2 linked regions of the Rattus norvegicus genome follow. The protein of the gene in region 1 purifies or fractionates together with the protein of each later gene. This does not show direct contact. Links are inferred from orthologs where the notes say so. Each region holds a gene or a part of one and is shown on either strand. Other genes may lie near its edges.

The links. The genes of interacting proteins can lie anywhere in the genome.
Region 2: the proteins of Max (region 1) and Tfdp1 purify together in Homo sapiens (affinity purification with mass spectrometry; 5 studies listed by BioGRID and IntAct, with this or other methods). This does not show direct contact. The link is inferred for Rattus norvegicus from reciprocal best matches to the Homo sapiens genes MAX and TFDP1.

Annotation. Positions count from the first base shown.
Region 1 is NC_086024.1:101,392,030-101,396,950, forward strand, and holds the start of Max (protein max), read right to left. Parts: upstream 3,262-4,921; 5' UTR 3,067-3,261; coding exon 3,031-3,066; intron 2,973-3,030; exon of another isoform or gene 2,834-2,972; intron 2,355-2,833; coding exon 2,328-2,354; intron 1-2,327. UniProt on the Homo sapiens protein: Transcription regulator. Forms a sequence-specific DNA-binding protein complex with MYC or MAD which recognizes the core sequence 5'-CAC[GA]TG-3'. The MYC:MAX complex is a transcriptional activator, whereas the MAD:MAX complex is a repressor.
Region 2 is NC_086034.1:82,900,229-82,904,988, forward strand, and holds the start of Tfdp1 (transcription factor Dp-1), read right to left. Parts: upstream 2,939-4,760; 5' UTR 2,753-2,938; exon of another isoform or gene 2,130-2,752; intron 1,944-2,129; 5' UTR 1,881-1,943; coding exon 1,869-1,880; intron 1-1,868. UniProt on the Homo sapiens protein: Can stimulate E2F-dependent transcription.

The sequences.
Region 1 (4,921 bases):
AATTCCAGTTCAAGAGGAGTCTTGCCCTCTAACCCTGATCAAGCCCTGCGCAGATCTCATAACCAGAGACTCAGAGGGAGGAAGAGTTGGCTTTTGTTGTTGTTTTGGTAGAACAGGCTCAAAGGATAGAACAGGCTCAAAGGAAAACAACCAGGTCCATAGTATTAGACGAATAGTACCCAGGCAGGGTGGTGCACACATTTAATCCCAGCTGATTAAATCCCATTTAATCCGGGAACCTGAGGCTGATGGATCTCTGTGAGTTCCAGGACAAAGCTTAGACTCCTCCCTCTCCCAAAAGAAAAAAAAGGATAACAGCTGAAAAACAAGACACAAAAGGGATTTGACGTTCTATTGACAACTGTGTAAAGCTTCATTAAGAAAACATCTTCAGTGAGAATCTCAGAACAATCCTTAAGACCTCTGAGATAACTGCACTCAGAATCAATCAGTTCCCAACAAATGATGTTTCGGGGGTCTGCACAATCTGATGCCCTAATGAAGAGCAGAAACACTGAGGAGCTGGGTCCTACACTTGAGCTGTCACATCTGCTCCCCAGAAAAAGAGACAGAAGCAGAGAATTCTTGTGCAGAATCTCATGCTGTAGTCCAGGCTGGGACTCACTCTATATCCCAGGTGGGCTTAAAATTCAGGGCAACCCTTCTGCCAAAGCCTCAGAAGCCCTGGGCTTACACACTGGGTCACAACCCAGGACTCTGTGCTGTGTTGGTTTTTGTATTAAGGAATTGCAGAGGCAGGCTCGGATGTTTGATCTTCCTACCTCAACCTTCTGAGTAACTGGGTTTACAGGCCTGAATAATCAAGCCTAGTTACATCCTGCAAACTCTTTACAAGTCCTAAGCAGCTGTTCCACGTATCATTTTAAAGATCAGATAACTGAAGCTAAAGAGACAGCTCAGCGGGTAAAGGCTTTGTAGTCAAACCTGATGACCCTAAATTCAATCCCCAGACCCACGTGCTGAAAAGAGAACTGACTCCCCCAAGTTGTTCTATGATCTTCACATGAGAGCCATGACATATGCATGACCACACACCCACACGCCCACCCACCCACACACACACACACACGTTAAATAAATAAATGTAATTAAAAAGAAAAATCAAGTAGGTTGAGGCTGTAGCTCCATGGCAGAGGGGTTGCAAGGCATCCTTAGGCCCTGGGTTCAATTCCCAGCACAGTCAAAAATTAAATGCATATAAACACACCAGAAAAAGTAATAATCTGTGTTTCTAGCATATTAACATTTCTCATAAAGTTAGAAGTTCCAGGGATATGGCTCAGCCCTGAAGGTAAAAAAAAAGATCTGGCAGCCTGAGCTCACTCTCGGGGAGCAAGCAGCAGAGTTAGGTGGCTACTTCAGAAGGGGTGTGCATCCTTCAGTGCATACACCAGTCCTCACCTTTCCCTCTATCCTTCACGAGCTCATTACCTGGCCCTCACAGGAAAATGCACTCTACACCCCTTTCTTACCACTTCCAATCATCAAATATTACATTTGTTTCTCTTCTCTGATTGGATTTATTCTGAGTCTATTCCTTTTCTCTCTCCCTAATCTATACCCATTTACTCCTAAGCCTCAGACTCCAAACACAAGGGAGCATAGGGTCAACTCAAAGCCAGAAACACCCATAAAAACCATTACTATCACAATCCTAAGAAGTCCCATCCATCACCTTCCAGCGAAGCTATCTCTTACAGTGCCGCTTAGCAATAATTTTTTTTTTCTTCTCAAACGGAAAGTCAGACCACAAAAAGCGGTGACACTCTCAGTATTTAACTTCTGGTGCCTCTCTTTCCCATTGTTGTTGTTGCGAATAAAGCGTTTTTCTATATTCTAGGGGCTGTAGCAGTCTTTGTAGCAGACTTTGGCTAAAGACATTGATCTTTATGCGTGCCTGCGACTTCACACAACTATGGAGACACTGCTTAAAGTTTACCTCCTAAATAAACCTGACCAGTCTGCTCTGAAATAACACTACCATTCACTTCGGAATGCTCTTTCGTTTCTCACACGCCTCGGCTGCATCCTTCACTGAACACTACAGAACTCAGTTCGAAGCACAGGCCTCCTCTCACTCACCTAGCTACCTACCTACTCACTAGAATCTACCACCTGAGAATCCAGAATCATGAGGATTTGCAACGCCCCCCTCCTCCAACCCCAAGTGACTCCACCTCACCTTAGCGGTTAAGAGGAGTTTACAAGACTATTAAAAGTAATAGAACGATCTCTTTTTCTCTCTGACTCCAAAAAGAACGAAAACTGAACGGAAATGAAAATGAAATGGAGAGTAGGAGACGTACCGCAGATTGAAACCTCGGTTGCTCTTCCTGGAATAAGAGAGAAAAAAAAATAGAAAATATAGAAGTTATTTTCGCACTTCGAATTCAATAATAAGAAAGAAAATGCCGGCGGCGGAGGAAGCAGCGGGTGGGTAGTCAGCCTGACACCCCTCCCTCCCTCTTTTCCCTTCCACTCTCTCCAGCGAGAACCCGTAGCCTAGTGGGGGTCCCAGGCGCTGCCCCTCCTTCTGGGATCCGAACCGGACAAGAGGGATCCGGAGCACTGTCTGCTCTTTCCCGATCCCTCTCGGGCGTCAGAGCACTCCCAGCCCCTTCACCCCCAGGATCAACCGGTCACCGGAGGAGGGAGATCATGGACCCAATGAGCAAGAACTGAGCGCTGGTCTCCTTGCCCAGGATCCGGACGGATAATGGGATCTCCAGCCCGGCAGAGTGGAGAGGGAGGCCTCGACACCCTCCTCCACGGGAGAATGTGTGGGTCCCGGAGGCCGCGTGTCTGCTCCCACCTTCAGTCCCAGGAGGCCTCTCCGGACAGGACTGGAGGGGAGCGAGCCTGGAGCGCGACGCAGGCGGTCCCGGCCCCGGGGGAAGAGGACGGAGGCGGCGGCGACCCGGCCCCCCTCCCGCCGTCGCCTGGCTGAGAGCCCTGGCCGCTGTCCCCGCCTGACAACCCGAACGGAAAGGAAGAAGCCCCGGGACTCACGTCGCTCTCCACCTCGATGTCATCGTTATCGCTCATTTCCTACGGCCCAGGGAGCGGCCACTGCAGCGGCGGCCGGGGAGGGGAGGGGTGGAGGGAAGGGGGAAGTCACCGACAACAACAAGCCGAGTGCCCCCACGCACACACTCACTCACTCACTCGCTCACTCACTCACACACTCACACACACACAACACGGGCGACAACCACCTCACTGTAGCACCGGATCAACGGCGGCACGCACGCCCGATCGGCCCCCTAACACGTGACCGGGCTCACCGCGCCGGGGTAGCTGAGACTTGTAGTCCTCGAGCGTCTGATGGGCGAGTGGGAGAGAGCCAGAGAAACTACAAATCCCATCAGGAACCGCACACAGTCTTCGTCAGACCCGCTTGTTGACAGAGCGCAGAGCGCCTGCGCCCCGGGTGTTGGCTGCGAGAAGTGGCGCGGTGCTTCCCGGGAGATGTAGTCCATAGACCGCGAGTTGTCAGGAGATTTTCCTCCCCAGGCGGCGGAGAGGCTGCTGGGAAGACAGGACACGTGGAGGGAGCTGGGCTCCTGGAGCCGGCCACAATTCTGAGCTCTGGGCGCCCGGCCCAAGGGATTGGGTGGAGGCTCTGGGGGAGAAACTGGCTGCCAAAATAACACTGTCTCTTCTTGGCTAGACTGCTTTTACATTGTCTTGTTTAATGCTTGAGTCGCTCCACTTGCGCCCTGGGGCGTAACCTACGGGGCAGGAATCACGCTGCGGCTGACCAGGGGGCGCGGTCCAGACGCCCACGCGGACCCTCTGAATCTGATTTTAAAGTATTAAGAGGCATTACGAGACAAGCTAAAGGACCGACTTCACAGGGGTGTCCTTGTCTCAAGAGTCTTGCTTTCATTTGTCGTAGAGAACTGTCCTTACTGGGCTTGAATGTTTACAAAACCTCTCGAAGGTGCAAGTAAAACCTACCTTATGTTTGTCGTAGCCAGAGCAGATTAGGGAGTGCCCCCGTTTAGAGAACTCTAATTAACTGCAAACAGAATCAAAACGGGAAAGTTGTGCAGCTTCCTGTCCAGTTAAGGTGATACTCACACAACTAGGTATGAAGTTTAACTACATTCATCCCGCCAATATTTAACTATCTAATAATGTGGCAGGCCAGGAATGGCATGTGTCCCCTCAAAGACTTCACAGCTGTGGAAGCAGAAAACCGGACGACGCTGTCACCTTTTTTAGTGTGAGCCAGGTCCTCGATGAAACAACAAACAAACAACCCAGTAATAATACACTTTCGTCTTCTGAGAAATTTTATAACTGATCTTCAAAGTGAGTGGTCTTGAGTTTGATCCATGAGTTACTGGTTGGTTTGTTGTTGTTGTTTTTGAGTAAAAAAAATCATTAAGTTCCTGACTGTTGAGTACAGAAACTTGGTGGTGTATACAATCTTTGTGACTCCTAGCCCAGGCTGGCCTTAAAATGGGTGTGTGGCCAAGCCTAGTGTTGAGAACACAGTCATAAGCAGACACTGACCCGTAATAGAAGTCAAGGTCTGTAAGGGAGACAAAGACAGTAAGAGTTAACTGGATACCAGAAGTAGAGACAATGGGTGATCACAGCAAACCATCCTTGTATACCTCCCTGCAGTGTGCAGAGTATTACCAGACATCTTTAGCTGCAAGTTAGTTTATTCAGAGACTTTAAAAAAATATCCTAGCAACCACAAGGCCCTGGGTTCGGTCCCCAGCTCCGAAAAAAAAAAAAAAAAAGAAAGAAAAACCCTCATGCCTGCTCCATGCCCCTGCTCAGTTAAGGCAAAACCTTTGGGAGGGAGTAGGACCAATGAAAGACAGTTCTTCATGGTCTTCAGGTGATTCGTATGTGAAACCTGGAAGATGCCAAGGCAAAGACG
Region 2 (4,760 bases), on another chromosome or scaffold:
CTGCCAGCTCCTGCCTGCCCCATTCCATAGCCCACAGTCCACAGGGAGCCCAACATACTCGATGCTCTGCCTGGGCACCAGCAGGGGCAGAAAAGCCCCTAAGCTATTTGTCTTCTGTCTGCCCTTTCTGAGACCTAGAGCGTGACTTTTGCCCCTCTGTTCTCGCCAGCGTCATGGCCTTCCGAGCCCCATGTCGACAGTGCACTTTACAGCCAGAGTTCGTCTTAAGCATCAAGTGCTTACACAGCTCCAGTGGTGCCTCTTTCCTACCCTTCAGCACAGGTTACAAAGTCCCTTTCCAAACCCCAATACTGCATCCTACTGAAAAAGCACAGGGAAGGCCCAACCCTGCAACCCCCACTTCCAGCCAGAGAACAGGGGGAGCCGCTTCGCCTCTGCCCAGGTCTGTGCGCACTTGTGGAGGGACAAAGCAGCAGCGCTCTTACCCAGTCACAGCACTGGCCTCACCATACCACAATGGCTAACCCCAAACCAGCTGGCCTCACACTCTCCACTGGATAGGACATCCTGACCACTTGCCATCATGGTGTCTACCCACCCACCCACCCCTTCCCCAGGGACACAGCACACAGGAGTGCATGATGCAAAACTGAGGTGACAGGACTTGGAGCATGCTGACTCACTGAAGATCACTGAAGAAGATGCAATGATCCCCGAAACCACACCAGGCCATGGGGTCTCAACGAAGGCACGGGAGCCAGTGCCCTGCTTACACACCGTTTACCAGACCTAGCTACTTTGTGGGCACGCACTGAGCGGCACGTCTCTCCTTAGGCACACACGGGGGGAAGAGTCAGGACGTGGAGGCAGGCAAACAACAGACATAACGAAATCGAGCCCCACGCCACATACAGCTGTGACTTCAGGTGACCTACACACGGTCTCTCAGGGTGGAACTCGACTCCCAAGAGCAGGTCCAGTGCTTGATGACCATAAGACGGACACCGTCTGATCCAGGTGGGCCACTAGGCATGACTAAATCCTTGGGCCTCTAAGTCAGGACAAGACTCGGTACCTGCGCCACAGTTTCAGTGCACTTGGGTACAAGTCTAGCTGATGTGGTATTATCTGCCTGCATTTTCAGGGCTGCACAGAAAATTACACTCATCTAATAGTCAAAGGACAGTGAATGCTGAAACACTGGCACAGGCACGATCAGTGTTGGAGGGAGTTATAAAGTAATACTGCGAACATGTATGTGACCAAAATCACAGACTGTATTTTTGCCCCCTAAAAGCCTAACTGTCAGTACCCATTTCAAAAAAGAAATTTCAAATGCTCAGTAGCTTTGTAGTAAATACGAAGCTTAACCAACCAGCGTTTCCGTGTTTCATTAACCACCAAACGTCATCTTTCTGAGAGAAAAATGTGCCCAAACAAGTAGTTGGGATTCAACCCATCAAAGTGGAATTACGGTCTTACATACTACATAAAACAAGTTAAGTTTCATGCATAATGCATCGTAAGTTGCATGCTGACAGCTCTCCTTCGTGGAAACCCACTAGCAAAATACCCCCCTCACACGTTCATTTCAACTGGGAGATGCATTCAAACACAAATTTTGTATTCAAGCGGTTTAGATAGATTAAAGAAAAATCCAGACATCATCATCTTAACCACAAAGAAAAAAAAAAAAAAAAACGTGCCAGGCTTCAGATGACAAAGAACATTTGTGCGGAGGGGAGGCACCCACCTACTGACTGGCCACCCCTCACCTCCATCCCAGCTCCTGCCTGTAAAATGTCTGAGCAAACCACTGCCACGCAGGTATGGCCACTCTCAAATAAAGGGAGAGAACTGCAGCGAGCTATGCTAACATGTCTGCAGCATGCAGAACTCATACTTACATCTTTTGCCATGTTACCAGATCCAGGAAATCAAGGCTTTAACTGCGTACCCTCCACAGAAGAAACCGGACTTATCTGGTAAAAAGGAAGGGGACGAGTAATGAATGAGAATGAAAAAAAAAGAAGTTTAACGCACATCGCATTTCAAAGGAAACATCTCCCCACCAGCACGAGGCAGGCCTCCAGGCAGCAGGGGCCTTTCTTGCACAATCCCAACAGGAGAGCTAGCCAAGCAGGTCCCACACAGGGATTTTAAGTCACCTCTCCAAATGGAAATGCTCCCTGCGGGCACCAGCAGCTCCCACCCGCAGAGGGGCCAGACCCCGGCCCCTTGGCGGAGCGAGGCGCAGCCGTCAGGCTCACCCCACCTGGGCACGCGGGCCCCGCCTGACCACAGGCCCCACCGAGTCACAAGGCCCCCCACTTAGGCACACGACACTGCGTGGTTCTGCCCGGGCTGCAGCAGGCCCCGGGGCTGCCCAAGACCCCGAGGTGCCGCCGACCACTCTGACAGGTGGGCTCCCGGCCGCCCGGCCGCCCCACCTGTCACTAGGCCCGGCCACCAGCCTCGCGCGCTGGCGCGGACAGAGCCGGAGGGTGGCCAGGACCCCTGCCTGCCGCCCACGCCACGCCGCGTCGAGGCCGACTCCGGGCTGAGGCTGGGCGGCGGGCGGGATGCGACCGGACGCGGGAACCGGGCTGGGGCGGGAACGGGGCCGCGCGCCCAGCCCGCGCCCTCCCGCCGCGACCGGCCGGTGCCCCCGCCACACCTGGCTGGCCGGCGGGGCGCGCGGGGCGGACGACGGGGGCGCGGGGGCGCCGGCCCGGAGGTCCGGCCCTGGCGGTCCCTGCCCTGAGCCAGCGGCGCCGGGACGCGGGCTCACCCTGGGCCGAGCGTCGGGCCGGCGTGACGTGCGCGCGGCGCGGTGACGTGGGCGGCGGCGGGCCCGCTCCGCGCAGCGCGCCTGCGCGCCTTTTCGCGCCTTCGGCGCCCTCCTCCTCCTCCTCCTCCCGCCGCTCATCTCCCGCGCCTCTCGCCGGTGCTACCCGCCCTGGGATAGGGGAGGGACCTGTGCGCGCGTGCGCGTGTGGCGGCCGCCGACGCTGAAAAGCGCTGCGCGCGCCTCCATGTGCGCTCGGAGAGAGGCCACGTGTGTGCGCGCCTCTGTGTGTGTACACCAAGGGCCAACTGTATGCATGTCTGTGTGCATGCGCAGGGAGAAGAGGGCCACGTGTCTGCCTCTGTGTGTATGTGTGTGTGCCACGCGCGCCAACGGTGAAAAGTCTGTGGTGTGTGCCATACCTGCATGTACACATAGGGAAAGGATGATGTGTGCACACCTGTGTATATCCATAGTCTCGCTATACAGACACGTGTGTATTCATGGAGTATGAGTCGTGTGTGTGCATGCCTGGACGTATATATAGAAGAGAACCCTCTGTGCATACAAATATGGATACCTATGTTTAATGCCTGCACACTGAAAAGAATAGGTGAGTGTGTACACACAAGGGAAAAAAATGACCAGTTCTGAGCGTGCTTTAAAGTACCTGCATGTGCACCACAGGGGGAGGAGTCTTGTACATTTATACAGAACAAAGTAAAGGCTGTTAGGATGCATATTGGACAATGCAGAGACAAGATCCCCCACCTCTGCTCAACTATTGACCTCCACAGCCACAGGGCCTGAACTTGGGCAGTCAGAGGGAGCAGCCTGAAAGACAGGTGTGTGTGTGTGTGTGTGTGTGTGTGTGTGTGTGTGTGTGTGTATGTATGTGTAAGACTAAAGCTGGAGAGCCTGGGAGAAGAATAGACTGTGGCTTGCAAATCAGTCCAAGTGGTTCAGATAAAATGACCCAACTTTTCCCAAGCATATGGGACTAAAGACCAGAGCGCTGTTCAGTACTATCAGACAACTGTTAATGTGAGCGACCAAATTTTATTCTGAGGGGTGGAGAAGCCAAATTTGACTCCCAAACAGATCTTTCTCTATTACCTAGCTTCCTTGGTCAGACGAGTTAGCATTTGACTGAACAGTCCTCAAGCTGCTGTCCTGTTTAGAACTCTTCCTCAGCTGCTTTGAGGAAGCAACACTGTAACCACAGCAGCTTATTGCTAAAGCACAGCTACCGTTCCAGAAGGCAATACCCAAGGCATGAGTATCTCAATAGCTTGCACCAGACCTCTTACCATCACAAGCTTTAGTAAGCTCTAGTAACCATCTTCACCCAGGATGGGAGGGGGTGGGGGTGGGGTGGAGGGGGAAGCATCTGTAATGGCTGAGCAGAAAGGCTGTGATTGGTGCAAACATCCTTGCCACACCCCATTTCTGACTATATAAACAAGCTATTTGGCTAACTTTTTCAGTAAGCTGGGAGAGTCTTTCATCCAATAGGAACTCCTCTCAGGTGACGGTTTACAAGCTAGACTGGTAATATGAAGAGATAAACCACAGAGCATCAGCAGAGCAGTGACAGCAGCAAGGGGGAGTCTGAAGAGTTCTGGGGAGCAAACAGGTCCAGAGCAGCAGCACACAGGTGGTGGGGCGACAGACAGAAATGGGAAGACACTTAGAGAAGGTAAAGTGCCAGGACTGAAGAAGGCTATGAAGGGGCAGAGACGTGAAGACGTGGGTCCCGGCCACTGGAAGAATTCCAGGGAGCGGAGCGGGCCAGCCTTATCGGGTAACAGTCGTGCTCTAGGATTGAAAACTGAAGTTCTCCACACATAAGTTCCCAGCACCCAATACCCATGCAAAGCCACCGCACCAGCAGACACTGCCTATTGCCGTTGATGGAAGCTAGGATTAGAGTAGCTGCCAAGTGTTATGGCTGTCGTTGGCACAGAATACTCTAAGCCTCCAACTTCAGTATCTCGAATTGTAAGTCTTT